3 linked regions of the Macaca fascicularis genome follow. The protein of the gene in region 2 purifies or fractionates together with the protein of the main gene of each other region. This does not show direct contact. Links are inferred from orthologs where the notes say so. Each region holds a gene or a part of one and is shown on either strand. Other genes may lie near its edges.

Region 1 (3,805 bases), on a different chromosome or scaffold from region 2:
CCCCACCCATTAGACCATGTTATTATTATTATTTATTTTATTTTTGAGAGTCTCATTTTGTCACCCAGGCTGGAGTACAGTGGTGCAGTGGCACAATCTCGACTCACTGCAACCCCCGCCTCCCGGGTTCAAGCAGTTCTCTTGCCTCAACCTCCCAAGTAAGTGGGACTACTGGTGGCTGCCACCACACCCAGCTAATTTTTGTATTTTTAGTAGAGACAGGCCTTCACCATGTTGGCCAGGCTGGTCTCGAACTCCTGACCTCAAGTGATTCACCCACCTCAACCTCCCAAAGTGATGGGATTACAGGTGTGAGGCCGGATGCCCAGCCAGCAAGAGTTAAACTGAACTGATACAAAGAGAGAAAGTATCTCAGAATGACCCAGACAGGAAAAATTATATACAAAGTAACATCTGGTGGTTAATTTGAACCTGAAAAATTATATATAAAGTAACATCTGGTGGTTAATTGGAACCTAAGAATTAAATTCAAAGGGAAGCAGCCAGATCTTCTGGAACCAATGTGATCCAGAGGCTCCTAAACTTGTCTTTACTTTGCAGCTAGGTTCTAAGATTTAATCAGTTCTCAGCATGTTCACAAAAATAACTGTATAAGCTTAGGTCTCAGAAAGTGACGCTGCTGAGCTGGATTTTTTTTTCATATAATTTATTCTGCTGACAGTTTTATACGATGGCTGTCAATTCACCTCCTTCCATCTCATTTCGCACAAGTACATTACATCTCCAGCAGAACAATAATGTCTGTCTCCTCCATACTGAGACCAAGCTAATCAGGTCACACCTGTGCTGCTCACTCACGCTCACCCAATCCCTCCCTTCCAGCCACTCACTGTACCTGATGTCATGAGGCAAACAGGACTGGTCTAGGTTATATTGAATCACGGCCAGTTTGCACAGAGTCTTCAGACTAGGGCCTTTAAGGGAGAAGTTATGGAAAAGAGATGGTCAAAGGTGAGGAAAGGGTCCAGTCCTGGATATCACCACCCAAAGACAGGGACCTTGATGGCAGGAGCAATTCAGGAATAAGTAACTATACTTACTAAAGTCCAAAATGTGTAAGTCAGAATGATCTATGAGGTCAAATTCATCTCCCAGGCCTTCCTCAGGAGATGGACTGTCAGGATCAAAAGAGAGATGAAAGTAGGACAAAAACTACCCATGAGACCCCCTTTTCAAATACCTCCCACTCTCCCATTGGTCACTTCCCTGAGCCCTTCCCTCTCTCTTTCTAACCTGGTACCCCCAAAGAGGACAATCTTGTCACCAACAATACAGCAGCACTGGCGCCGGCGGGGACATGGCCCCTTCCCCTTCGGTTCAATCTTTTTCCAGGTAAAGGACACTGAAGAGAAATTTATATGGAAGTTCAATACCTGCCTAGTCCAGGTATCTTCCCCACCCCCATCCCTCACCTCCTCAGGATTATTTTCTTTTCCTCCCACCTCAATTGCTCCTTGTTCCTGCCCTAAACGCAGTGCTCTTTACCAGGATTAAACTTCCAGAGGTCATGGAAGTGCCGGTTCAGCCTTGCATTATAGCCACCAAAGATGTACAGCTCCCCATTGTAGCCAACTGGAAGGAGAGAGAAAACATCAAGAGTGTGAAGAGGGCAGGAAGGGAACTCCACATGGAAGTAACAAACACTCACAGGCCGAGTGGCTCCGGCGCCCCTCAGGCAGCACTGGAGTCGGGGGACAGTCCAGCCAAGCCTCAGTTCTGGTGTCAAAGACTCGAATGCGGTTGCAGTAAATCTCATTGTTGGAATGGAATGGCCCAAAGCGGTCGGCACGGCCCCCAAAGACGTACATGTGACTTCCCAGCATTGTGGCTGAGTGGAAGTCCCTCCAGCGTGCAGGGTTGCCCTGGGCAGAGGCAGAGAGATGGTGGAGGGGTCAGAACAAAGGCTGGAAGAGGATCTGCTCTGACTGAGCTTCCTATCATTTCTTCAACGGAGGGTGAGGATTTGGGAGAAAAAAGAAAGAGCAGACCTTTGTACAGATAAGAGTCCATGTCATGGTGCTGGTATCTAGCTTGTGAATGTCATTGGAAAAGCAGTCCGCCTGAGTAGGAAGAGAAAAGGAGGAAGAAAAGAGGGAGCCAACAGTCACTCTCTGACCCTCCATCCCTCCCCTCAAAACATGCAAACAAGCCAAAGCCTCCCATTTCACCATCCAAAATTGCCCTTCCCCTCTTTCTCAGTCCCACCCTAAACCTCTTAGTTTATTCCCAGACCTACCTGCTGCTCGTAGCCCCCGAAAATGTACATGATCTTGCCTAGGACACAGGCCGAATGTCCATCCCGGGCCCCAGGAACTGTCCCTGACACTCGGGGTGTGAACCACTTGTGAGTATCTGAAGGAGATGAGAAAATGGCTCAACTAAGCACCCTCTACAACACTCCCTCCTGAGCTCTGGGGTACTCTACTCCCCAAGACCCCAACCCAAACCTTTCTCAGGCAACTGAGGCAACATCTAGAAGGACATAGCCTCTCTGAGATCCATACTCACTGACGTCAAAGGCATACAGCACATTGCAGGCCCCTTCGGTGTCATTCCGCCCGCCCCAAAGGAGGACCGTGTCGTCAATGAGGACGGTTGAGTGTCCATAGCGCATGTAGGGTACGACAGGAGCTTGCCCACGGATGGCAGACTTCACCGGGGGCAGCTTTGTCCAACGCAAGGACACTGTGGACACAGCTCTGCTCAGCCCTGGGAACTTCCCTCCAGGCTGTCCACCTTTCCCAAACCAGATGTTCGTCCCCAATCCCCTTGGTCCCAGAGACCACAGCCAAACCTCATCAGCAGCCCGTTTCCCACCCTGATGTGGGGACTCAGGGACAGCCCCAGCACTGGCTTACCTGCATTGAAAATGTGCACATCTATCTGACGCAGCGTCTCATAGTCTTCACCAGAGCAGTAACCCCCGAAGGAGTATACCCGATGCCCGACAGCCACTGCAGCATGGTTCACCCTGCGGGGCCCGCCCTCCAGGTGCACTGTCCACCGTAACATCCCCTGGACCACTGGTTACAGCAACATGCCCCCCCGGCACGGCCTGCTGCCTCTGCTACCTGCACACAAATTGGGGCCACAGGATCCTCAGGCAAGGCTTCTGCCCAGCTCACTGTGACTCCGCCCAGAACCAGCCTTTGCCTCCAAGTGTCACCCTGGTGGCCCTCCCACACTACCCCTCCACAGGGACACTAGTCACAGCTCAGGTGGCTGGCCCTGCCCCAAGGGAGCTGCCGAGGTCAGGGAGCTAGCCCTGGCCCAGTGTTCTCCAACAGTGAAGGGTGGGGCCACCCCCACTTGATTGCCAGCTCAGAATCTGCTGATTATGGTCACCACCTACTCGTGGAGGCTCCACTCTGTCCCTGGCTTGGCACAAACTTGAAGCCCCTTCCCAAATGGTATATTCTCTTGTCTCTGCTCTGCTTACTGCCACCTCTCTAAGAATCTGTGTTCTTTAAGGTGGGGAAAGGGATCTCAAAATACTCACAGCTATTAATAGCCCAGCCAGCCTCAGACAGTCCATCGAAAGCTGGCATGAGTGCCTCAAAGCAGAAAAGCTTTCAGGCTTTTAGAGTAGAACAATCCCCCTACCCAGGATAGGGCGGGACTGATCCAGGAAGGGACCTCCATGTTACCTTGGTTGGTTAGCCCCTCACAGGGAGCTCTTGTCAAGCTGAGTTGTTGTCATTGGGGTCACCCAGGGCCCCCCACAGGCACAAGGAGTTCCTTTGACAGCTGTGCCTGGTATGCTGCCAGGACTTAAGCCAGAAAG
Region 2 (5,612 bases):
AGTACAGTGGCTCGATCTCAGCTCACTGTCACCTCCGCCTCCCGGGTTCAAGAGATTCTCCTGCCTCAGCCTCCCGAGTAGCTGGGACTACAGGCGCGTGCCACCACGCCCAGCTAATTTTTGTATTTTTAGTAGAGATGCAGTTTCGCCATGTTGGCCAGGCTGGTCTCGAACTTCCGACCTCAGGTGATCGACCCGCCTCGGCCTTCCAAAATGCTGGGATTACAGGCGTGAGCCACCGCGCCTGGCCAATTCTTTCTCTTTAGCAATAGTGTCAGCACACTCCATTACTCTCCAGTTATCTTTTAAGAGAAAATAAAAGGCTTCAAATCACCTGTACCAGATCTAAGAGTGCTCTGGCGGAGTCATACCTCTGCAAGGTTAGAGATGTCAAAGGGAGTCCTGGTCTAGCGAGAAATGGGAGAGTGACACAAAGTACAGGTGCTTGGGTCGGGCGCGGTGGCGCACTCCTGTGATCCTAGCACTTTGGGAGGTCGAAGTGGGAGGATCGCTTGAGCCGAGGAGTTCGAGACCAGCCTGGGAAACAGAGTGAGACCTTGTCTCTATTTAAAACAAAAAAAAATCGGCTCTAGCCTGTAATTCCAGCACTTTGGGAGGCCGAGGCAGGCGGATCACCTGAGGTCAGGAGTTCGAGACCGGCCTGGCCAACATGGTAAAAACCCGTTTCTACTAAAAATACAAAAGAGCCGGGCGTGGTGGCGGACACCTGTAATCCCAGCTACTAGGGAGGCTGAGGCAGGAGAATCGCTTGGACCCGGGAGGTGGAGGTTGCAGTGAGCCGAAATCGCGCCAGTGCACTCCAGCCTGGGCAGCAAGAGCGAAACTCCGTCTCAGAAAAACACCCCAAAAAGTCAGAATGCTTCACAAAAATTAAAGAAATACAGCGACTGCAGATGGGTCGGTTTCACTATAGCACAAGTAGCGGAAAGAGGACACAGACTGGGGAGAAATCACCCTACACAAGATGACAACTGAGGAATGAGGAGTGGGGACTGACACACGCCACGGTGAAACCGCGCACCACGACCAAAGGCGGTCCTAGGACTGCGACTAAGCGGGCGCAGAGGCCACCCTCCAGGCTTGGCGGGGGGATGAGGGCAGCACTGGGGGCCTGCTCAGTCTGGCCTTAGGGAGGACCTTCGGGGCTCTCCTCTCTCCCCATCGATCCCTGAGCAGTTCCCGAACAGAAATCGGAGACCAGACGGTGCCTGGGCCCCAGCCCTCCCACGCGGACTGCGCCTTGGGCCTGGCTCGGAGGTGGGTCAGAGTCTGCGAAAGACCAGCGAGGGCTCTCAGGTTTCGGGGCAGGCGGCGGGCGCCCACCCCGGCTAGCAATGGGAGTCGCGCGGCGACCGGGCGAGCCCGGTAGGCAGGACAGGACTGCGGCGCAGGTCCGACTCAGGCGGAGGAAGCAGCCGCCGCCCCAGCTGATGGAGTGCGGCCGGGGGCTTCCCAGAGGAGGCGGCGACCTCGAGCCCTTTCGAACGTTTCTACCAGGCTAGCTCACGTAGCCTCGGCCCCGCCCGGCCCCGCCCCACCCACTCCGGCCACCGCCCCCTCCCCGGCCGACACTTCGCGGGTGGGGCGACCTGCGATAGCCCCTTTAAGAGGCGTGGTCACGTGCTCCGCCCCCACCTCCCCCACGCGCGCCAGTAAGGGGTGGGGTGCGGGAGGAGGTGCCGGGGAGGCTGGGGGAACGAGGTGTGCGCTGCTGCGCAGGCGCGGTGGTCGGACGACAGACCGTGTGTTTCCAAAATGGCGGCAGCGATGGATGTGGATACCCCGAGCGGCACCAACAGCGGCGCGGGCAAGAAGCGCTTTGAAGTGAAAAAGGTTGGGTCTCGCCAGCGCCTTCCTCAGGGAAGCTAGAGAGGCGCGGATCTGGCTGGCAGGCCCGAGGATGGTCGAGGCGCGGAGTAAAGGGTTTCATTTTAGGGCGTTCCTGGGACCGGGTACCACGAAAGGAAGTCGGGGGGCGGGCCTTAGAGTTGATCGGCGTGACGGCGGCCCACTGTCAGGGGAAGTGTTGGTTTCGATGTGAGGCTGAGGGGCCAATCACAGAGCTGCTTGTTGAGATACGCGGGGTTGCGACTTGGCGGCGGGAGCCAAGCGCCTGAGCTGTCACTGGAGTGGTTGAGAGGTGGGGGAAGGTAGGGTGGGGTGGGGTGGGGTGGGGTGGGGTGGGGTGGGGTGGGTGGAATGGGGAGTCAGAGCGACTGCGGCGGTGGAGGATGGGGCAGTGCGGCGAAAGCCTGGAACCTGAGGTCCTACCGCATTGGAGGCCTCTGAGGAGCCCCGCTAGTGATCTTGCTCCGCCCCTTTTTGAAGCTTGCTTGGGGTCCTCTCACTTGAAGGGATCAGACTTGTTCCTCGCTGAACCGAGGCCTCCATTAACCCCATCTCTGGGCCTCACACCGCCGAGTTAGAGTCTGGAGTGTAATGCTTGGGTGTTCTGAGACGTCTGTTGGCTTTTCCCACAACCACCCCACTCTTGGATTCTCTGTCACGTTCAGAATCTCCCCCTTCCGAAATAATAATAAAAAGCACGGTGGAACTTGTTAAGAAAATCCGAGCCCAAATCCTGTGGCATTTCGGGAGGGTTGAGTAGTAGTTGCGAATGACTTGGTAAGAGGGGAAAGCAAAAATGGAACGTGTCTTTTGCATGAAATGCATTTTAGTGGTTTGCCACAGTTTGGGAGAAAAGTGTCGATTCCCACCTAACATGAAAACTATTCGAAATGGAGATTCTGAAATAGGGAAGATATTCCTGGAACATCTGGCTAAACACTGACAATATCCCCCCCTCCTAGTGCTTTTTGGTGTCTCATTGTGGCCACTGCTGCTCAGTTACAGCCAGCCATATTGAAGAATAATAGAAGTAGGGGCTTTTCCTCCAAGTTGAAGCTGTGATGTGAAAAGTGGTGAAGAAGTTACTAGGCACTGAGACTGGGGTTTGAAAGCGATGAAGGTTTGGGAGTACTTGTAATTGAGGAAACCAGAGTTGAATGAATGAAATGCCACTTTTAGTTAAACTCTTACTGGAATTATTATCTTAATAGAAGAGTCTAAACATATAAAAGTTCAGAACATCAGTTTATTTTATGGTAAGAATCGAACAAAATTCTAGTGAATTGTAGAATTTGTTATGAAGTAATCTAAGATTTAAGTGATGACCTTGTTCTGTGTACTGACATGGGCAGTTAATTATCCAGCTTATCCCACGATTACCCGTTTTATGATCCAGTCATCATCTTAGTTCATTCTGTTCCCTAGCTTTCACTTCATTGCTCATGCTTCCAAAGCTGCCTGGAAGAGCAGATACTTATTCAGATTTTGAGCGCTTCTGCAACTGCCACCAAAACCTGCACAGAAATTCAAGTTTGTGCTTTTTTTTTTTTTTTTTTTTTAGATGGAGTCTCACTCCATCGCCCAGGCTGGAGTGCAGTGGCACGATCTCGGCTCACTGCAACCTCTGTCCCCCAGATTCAAGCGATTCTCCTGCCTTAGCTTCCCAAATAGCTGGCATTATAGACACCCGCCACCAAGCCTGGCTAATTTTTGTATTTGTAGTAAAGACGGGGTTTCGCCATATTGGCCAGGCTGGTCTCGAACTCCTGACTTCAGGTGATCCACCCGCCTCAGCCTTCCAAAGTGCTAGGATTATGGGCGTGAGCCACTGCGTCCGGCCAGACTAAATTGTTTTAAACTACAGGAAACAAATTAAAAGATGACATTAATTTATGTGTTCATATACTCAGTCTTTTGGAGAATAGGAGAATGTATGTGTTGTCTACTGTTGTCTTTGGTATAATAAGATTAACATAATATCCAAAAACTTTTGTTTGGTGGTTCCCTGTGGCCAGAGATCATAACTACAACTGCAGCCTGAAGTCCTAAAAACTGTGTGTGTGTTATAAGGAGAATGCATTGTTCCCTCTTTTTGTCTTTGCAGTGGAATGCAGTAGCCCTCTGGGCCTGGGATATTGTGGTTGATAACTGTGCCATCTGCAGGAACCACATTATGGATCTTTGTAAGTAATTGGAGGAGGATGGGAGGAAGTTGAGAAGGTTGCAGAGCTTGTGGCTATCTTGATGTGACCGATTTTCTTCTTCACAAGCAGATATCAAGCCTACTCTGAGCACTCGGTCTTCTGTATCTAGTCTTTTGGTGTGTTTGAAATAGAGTAGTTTTTTTATGATGTCCTGGAGGCATACCCAGCTTTCAGAATAAATCTACTCAATCTAAAGATGGCAGGGACACATTTAGAATTAATTGTGGACAACAGGCACTGTTGATTCTTCCTGCATATCTCCCATCTTGTACCTAGACTCAAAGGTAGAAATACTGAAAGGAGGAAAATAAACTTTGAGCTAAAATATTCTATCTGAGGCGAGGCGTGGTGGCTCATGCTTGTAATCCCAGCACTTTGGGAGGCCAAGGCGGGCAACATGGTGAAACCCCGACTCTATTAAAAATGCAAAAATACTCTATTAAAAATGCAGAAATTAGCCGGGCGTGGTGGTGCATGCCTGTAAACCCAGCACTTTGGGAGGCTGAGGCGGGTGGATTATTTGAGGCCAGGAGTTCAAGACCAGCCTGACCAGCATGGTGAAACCCCGTCTCTACCAAAAATACAAAAATTACCTGGGCGTGGTGGTGCATGTCTGTAATCCCAGCTACTTGAGAGGCTGAGGCAGGACAGCTGTTTGAACCTGGTAGGTGGAGGTGGCAGTAAGCTGAGATCACACCACTGCACTACAACCTGGGCGACAGAGCAAGACTCACAGTCTTTTTTTGAGACTCAGGGTCTCAAGAAAAAAAAAAAAAAAAGTTTTTGAGACTCAGAGTCTCAAAAAAAAAAAAAATGTCTATCTGAGCTAATTTTTGCTGGTCATTGTTTACAAAGGAAAGAAGCCTAAGGAGTAAGTATTTTGTATGTTAGGCCCAAACATAATAAAAAGGAAATCATTGCCAACATCTAAATAGGTAATTGATTGCACTAAAGAAATTTCATTTAAATCTCCACATATTTTATTACATGTAGTGGTCAGCACATAGTGATCCGATTATAGTCTTTGATGGACTGATTTCCTGTCCTTATAGTAGAAGGAACAAGAATGTTGATCACACCAGGAACAGTAGAGGTTACTTTTTCATCCGGGAACTAAAATGATTTGTTACTGAGGCCAGAAATGGAGGAAAGAAACTTCAAGTTTCTAGAATTGGAATTATAGGAACTTACTTTTCAGATCACTCACCTGCCTTTACAACTTCATCTTGAGTCACTCCTGCTCACTCTGTTAGTTTACCTGGACACTTTTTTTTTTTTAAACTAACTATGGTGGCCAAAGCAGCCATGGCCCCTGGCCAGTTTTCCTTTTTTTTTTTTTTTCTTATTTTGAGATGTAGTCGCCCAGGCTGGAGTGCAGTGGCGTGATCTCAGCTCACTGCAACCTCTGCCCCCTGGTTTCAAGCAATTCTCCTGCCTCAGCCTCCTCAATAGCTGGGATTACAGGCGCCTGCCACCACGCCCAGCTAATTTTTGTATTTTTAGTAGAGACAGGGCTTCACTATGTTGGCCAGGCTGGTC
Region 3 (5,017 bases), about 8.5 Mb from region 2:
ACTCTATAATCTTCCAGACACATGTTATCAGTGGTCTAGGAATTCAATAAAGTTGAGAAGGACTCACAACTGTATCATGATAGCCAATCACTGAAGTGGCTATAAAACATTTGGAAAGAAACGTCTAAGAATCCATAAACGAGCAACCATGACTATGCTATTCAATTACCATTTACAACAATCAGGTTTCCCAGAGGCACACAGGTGAGAGTAGCGGAGCTGCCCTCACAGAGAGGATGCATGTACTGCAGCTTATACACCCCGCTCAACTTCCACTTCTCCGGCATGGACAGTGCTTTGGCTTCGGTGCCCTGGGGAACGAAATGAAAGGGAAACAAATAATGAAGAAAGGTGTTACTCTCAAAAAGATTAAAAATCCAAAAGACTCCTAACTTGTTTGAAATAATCATTCCACATAGTCCTCTTAATACAATGCATCATTAATATTGCCATTATATTTTATATTGTAGGATAATATATTACAACACTTTTAATCAAAATTTTTGTTCAAACAGGTAAAATTGCAATATGGAAACAGGGATTGATCTCTCTCTTCCAAGACTCACTTCTCTGCCTAGCAAAACCATATGATTATTTAAAACTCCAAAATAATCAAATATCACTTCCTCTGTAAAGCCTTTTTCAAAGAAAAATTTTTTGCCATTTCCTTTCGTCCCCTAACAGTCTATTCATATTTCCATTACACTTCAACTGTATTATTATCTATGTTTACTTGTGTTATTTCTGATTATCTTTTTATTTGTCTCTCTCCTCTATTTATGTATGGACTCCTTGAGGACAGGAAATATCCCAATGTTTTTATATCCTAATTTCTGGGTCAGTGCATGGCATGCTGCAGGTGTGCACTGATCACCGAATTACTCTATATCTTTTTAACTTATAACATGGCTCTCAGACCAGCAACATTGGTATTATGCAGGAGTATGAAGAAGTACATGGTCCATTCTACAGTTACTAAATCAGAATCTGCATTTTAATAAGGTCCCCAGGTATTCCAAAGCACATTAAAGTTTGAGAAGCAATATTCTAAATGTTCTCCTCCATGAATTCCTGGCATCCTATATATGAATATGTCTCTCCCAGAACTTCACCAATATAGCACAATGCTTTATATTTCTGTCTATCTCTGCCACTCTCAGACTATGGGCAACTTGACAGCAGGAACCATCCACATGTATGAGCAATTATAAGATGTTTGTGTTTTGCTTGCAGTACTTACCTGAGGCATGTAACCTGACTCCAACATGAGAAGATGTATCAACACTATCAAGGCATCATTGGCATCAGAACAGTCAGCTGATTGATACAAGGTCTCTAATGAATGTGGCACTTGCCCTTCCACCGATTCACTACAGAGCATGGGTTCTGAGGGATAGAAACCTGTGCCCTCTGCCATATCCTCAATATCTTGAATTGACTCAGCTTCAAAATTTTGACTAGGCCCTAACTGAAAAAGGAAAACAAAACAACGAATTAATTAAAAAGACTTATTTTTACACAATACTTTTTTGTATCCTAACGTGAACTAAGTGCTGAAAGTCAAAGTACATCACTGGGTTCAGAAATGGGAGACATTTTAAGTGAGTCCTTATAAATAAATAAGCCTGCGACCTACTCTTCCATCCTCAATTCCTCACCTGTTAATTCTAGCCGATATGTCAAAAACCTGGAAATCATCCTAGACTCCTCCCTCTACCTAACTAAACCTTGTCCCAAATCTGATCAGTCTTCAAAGTTCCACTGAAACTAACTCCTAAACATGTCTAAAAGTTGCCCCTTCCTGCTCCATTGGTACTTCAGACTCTCATCATGTATTTCCTGACATCCAGCAAGAGCTTCCCTTGCAAGTACCCCTTCTTCAACTTTGTTGTCTTCCAATACATCCCATCCCCTGCTGCCAGAGTTTTCTTGACAATTAAAAATCCGATCATGTACTATGTCCCAGCTTAAAATTCACCAGTACCTCCCCAACGCAGACAACAGCATTTCCCTCAATTGTGCCTTAGATGTTCTTAGGAAAAAAGGTGGTCCACATGGAATAAGTGTGGAAAATGCTACATGCTGCAGCCACCTAACTTCACCCTCCATATTCACAAAATACTATATTTGCATTACAAAAGCACTGAGGAGTCTAATAACAATAATAATAGTGTGTGCATAACACTTTACCAAAAAACTCCGTCTTCACCAGTCAGCATCCCTGTAACACCACCTCACGAAACTAGATTTTCAGAGGACACTGAGAAATGCAGGCCTACAAATGAAGCCCAAACTTCTAATTCCCTTCGCATACAGAGTCCTTCATCACCTGATCTCTGACTCATTACTAAGTTCACTTTCTGCCAGTGCCTTCTTACTCACCCCAATATTCTCCACTTCTTCAAAAGAGGTAACACAGACCACAACTCTGCCTTACAACGGCCTTGATTATTTAACCTTATCACACTGCACTGTACTGCAATTTTCTGATTACATATCTGCGTCCTTCCATGACTACAAGCTTATAAAAAAACAGACTACATGTCACCCATTTTTGTAACCCCAGTAAAGTACCTAGCACAAAGCAGGTATTCAATGTCTGCTGAACAAATGCTGAAGGATAATACCTTACAACTTCATAATGTCTTTATTTTCAAAATGTTTTCTTATTTGTACCTTATAACAATCCTGTAAAACAGGCATGGCAGGTATTGCCTTTTTATAGATCCTGTAATTATAAATCTGAAAGATTAAATAACATAATCAAGGTTATCAACTAATAAAAATTTGAAACGAACCCAGATCTCCAAACTTGCAGCTCAGGACTTTGAGATGAAAAAAAAAAAAAAAAACTAAGTTACCTGTATTAAGTTTGCTCAGAAAGCTTGTTTCCTAGGCATATGCCCAACTCTTAATGCAAAGCATAAGTTTCTTCTTTTTAGGGTTTGCATTTCCATTAAAGAAGGGGCAAAGGAAATTAAAATTACACAGTATATGTAAAAGGTTGGAGGAATGTAAGGGAGCCAGAGGTGACAGCTGTTCTTCCAAAATCTCTGAGGACCCAAGACCTGTGGCTTATGGAAAAGATCCAAAGTCACTTGTAAAAACCTAGAGGCCAATGAGAAGTCACACTACCCAAAAATGAGGTATGGCACAAAAATATTTCCGTATTTCCTGAGAAAATAGAAACAACTATATTAAAAACCACTTAACATCAAGCTAAACTATGGAACAATAGGTTTTGCTTCTTTACCACTATGTCTAACTTTTGGCCACTTACTACTTATTGGCAGTTGTGTGGGACAGAATATATGTGGAAAAATGAAAAAGAGTTACCCTAGGCTGAAGTACATGAGAGGGAGATATCAAAATCCCCTGCTGGGCTTGTCAAACCTTACTCCTACTCTATGGGAACTACTGACATTCTCTGGGCTATTCTGATATGAGTATTTATCAAATTCTTCACATGTGTGAAAATGAAAAAAAAATGATGAGCACCACACCTCTCTGAACAGATCATTTTGCCATATGTCATTTACAAAAGACTAAAACAAGTGACTAAGATGCATGAGAGCTAATATTATATTCTGATACCTGCTACCCGTTTCTCATTCAAGACTCAAGAGGTACTGGATGAATTCCCAAATATGACGAAATAAGAAAATTGATATTTAATTACAAGAGTAAAATTTACCTCCTATGGTTTCAAGTTTTACGCATCTATTTTCCTTTTCTAATGCTCCATTCTACATTACAGAGTGTAATGTACTTAAAAGCATTATTTATGAGATCTCGAGCTCAGTTTCCATACTCTTAAGGTTTTCCTGTCACCCTTTAAGGTCTTGGAATACAAAACAATATGCAAAATCTTAGAACTGAAATTAGTAACTTCAAGCAACATTAATTTCTCAAAATTTTCCAAAAGGAAACTAGCAAACTATCACAAATACTATGAAAAGTTTCATCTTACTAGACAATTTTAAAGTACACAGAAGTAAAAGTAATGGGCCCTACTAAGTTATCCCAGAACAAGCCTATCAGCAAAAAAGACTCAGAAACATAATTTAAATATACAGCAAAATATTCTTACTCATTCCCCAGTTTACCTCTGTGAGGCAGAAACACACTGATACAACAATAATTTTAAAAATAAACTAAAATCCACATATCTGGATATAATTTTCACAACTTACCAATCTATTAAAAAGTATTTTTTAATATGTCTATACTTAATGCCATGACAAGTTACCATGAATACTTATACCCAAAAATGTTTAAGGTCAGCAATTAAGTTGAGGTGATAAGTGTACATACAAAAAACAATTAACAAGATGGCACGTGTATTGGTATTAAAAAACTAAAAGTGATCATCTGCACCATTCAAACAATTAAAAGGTCGGATAAAGGCTGGGCATGGTGACTCATGTCTGTAATCCCATTACTTTGGGTGGCCAAGGTGGGTGGGTCACTTGAGGTCAGGAGTTCAAGACCAGCCTGAGCAACATGGTGAAACCCCATCTCTACCAAAAATACAAAAATTAGCCAGGCATGGTGGTGTCTGTGGTCCCAGCTACTTGGGAGGCTGAGGTGGGAGAATCACTTGACTCCAGAAGGGTAAGGTGGCAGTGAGCTGAGATTATGCCCTATACTCCAGCCTGGGTGAGAGAGTGGTACACTGTCACACAAAAAAAAAAGTGGGAAAAATGATGAGGCATGTACAAGGCAATAAAGATAATCAGATAATCAATACAAAGAAATTAAAGAAAACTATTGGGCTATGGTTGGCAAGGGCTTAGGAAGATGGGTAGAAAATATAGACAAGAGAGGGAGGAAAGGTAACAGGTTCCAGTCTGGGTGAACAGTAAGATCAAAGTCACAAAAGCAGTCACCAGGTTGTGTGTATGCAGATGCATGCAAGCAGGTGCATGTGCTGGCTGGTGGGGGCGGGGGGAAATGATGGTCTGTTCTGATTGGAGATGACAGTTTAAAGGAGGGAAGAACAGAAACTACCCCTAAA

What was found. Proteins that work in one complex are often made in the same cells at the same time.
Region 1: the proteins of RBX1 (region 2) and KLHDC3 purify together in Homo sapiens (affinity purification with mass spectrometry; 3 studies listed by BioGRID and IntAct, with this or other methods). This does not show direct contact. The link is inferred for Macaca fascicularis from reciprocal best matches to the Homo sapiens genes RBX1 and KLHDC3.
Region 3: the proteins of RBX1 (region 2) and FBXO7 purify together in Homo sapiens (affinity purification with mass spectrometry; 5 studies listed by BioGRID and IntAct, with this or other methods). This does not show direct contact. The link is inferred for Macaca fascicularis from reciprocal best matches to the Homo sapiens genes RBX1 and FBXO7.

Annotation. Positions count from the first base shown.
Region 1 is NC_088378.1:128,512,563-128,516,367, forward strand, and holds part of KLHDC3 (kelch domain-containing protein 3), read right to left. Parts: intron 3,093-3,805; 5' UTR 3,034-3,092; coding exon 2,880-3,033; intron 2,707-2,879; coding exon 2,530-2,706; intron 2,374-2,529; coding exon 2,258-2,373; intron 2,082-2,257; coding exon 2,010-2,081; intron 1,884-2,009; coding exon 1,670-1,883; intron 1,594-1,669; coding exon 1,507-1,593; intron 1,364-1,506; coding exon 1,255-1,363; intron 1,136-1,254; coding exon 1,062-1,135; intron 936-1,061; coding exon 857-935; intron 1-856. UniProt on the Homo sapiens protein: Substrate-recognition component of a Cul2-RING (CRL2) E3 ubiquitin-protein ligase complex of the DesCEND (destruction via C-end degrons) pathway, which recognizes a C-degron located at the extreme C terminus of target proteins, leading to their ubiquitination and degradation.
Region 2 is NC_088384.1:10,678,278-10,683,889, reverse strand, and holds the start of RBX1 (E3 ubiquitin-protein ligase RBX1), read left to right. Parts: upstream 1-1,751; 5' UTR 1,752-1,776; coding exon 1,777-1,854; intron 1,855-3,973; coding exon 3,974-4,052; intron 4,053-5,612. UniProt on the Homo sapiens protein: E3 ubiquitin ligase component of multiple cullin-RING-based E3 ubiquitin-protein ligase (CRLs) complexes which mediate the ubiquitination and subsequent proteasomal degradation of target proteins, including proteins involved in cell cycle progression, signal transduction, transcription and transcription-coupled nucleotide excision repair.
Region 3 is NC_088384.1:19,142,159-19,147,175, forward strand, and holds part of FBXO7 (F-box only protein 7), read right to left. Parts: intron 1,469-5,017; coding exon 1,241-1,468; intron 312-1,240; coding exon 170-311; intron 1-169. UniProt on the Homo sapiens protein: Substrate recognition component of a SCF (SKP1-CUL1-F-box protein) E3 ubiquitin-protein ligase complex which mediates the ubiquitination and subsequent proteasomal degradation of target proteins and plays a role in several biological processes such as cell cycle, cell proliferation, or maintenance of chromosome stability.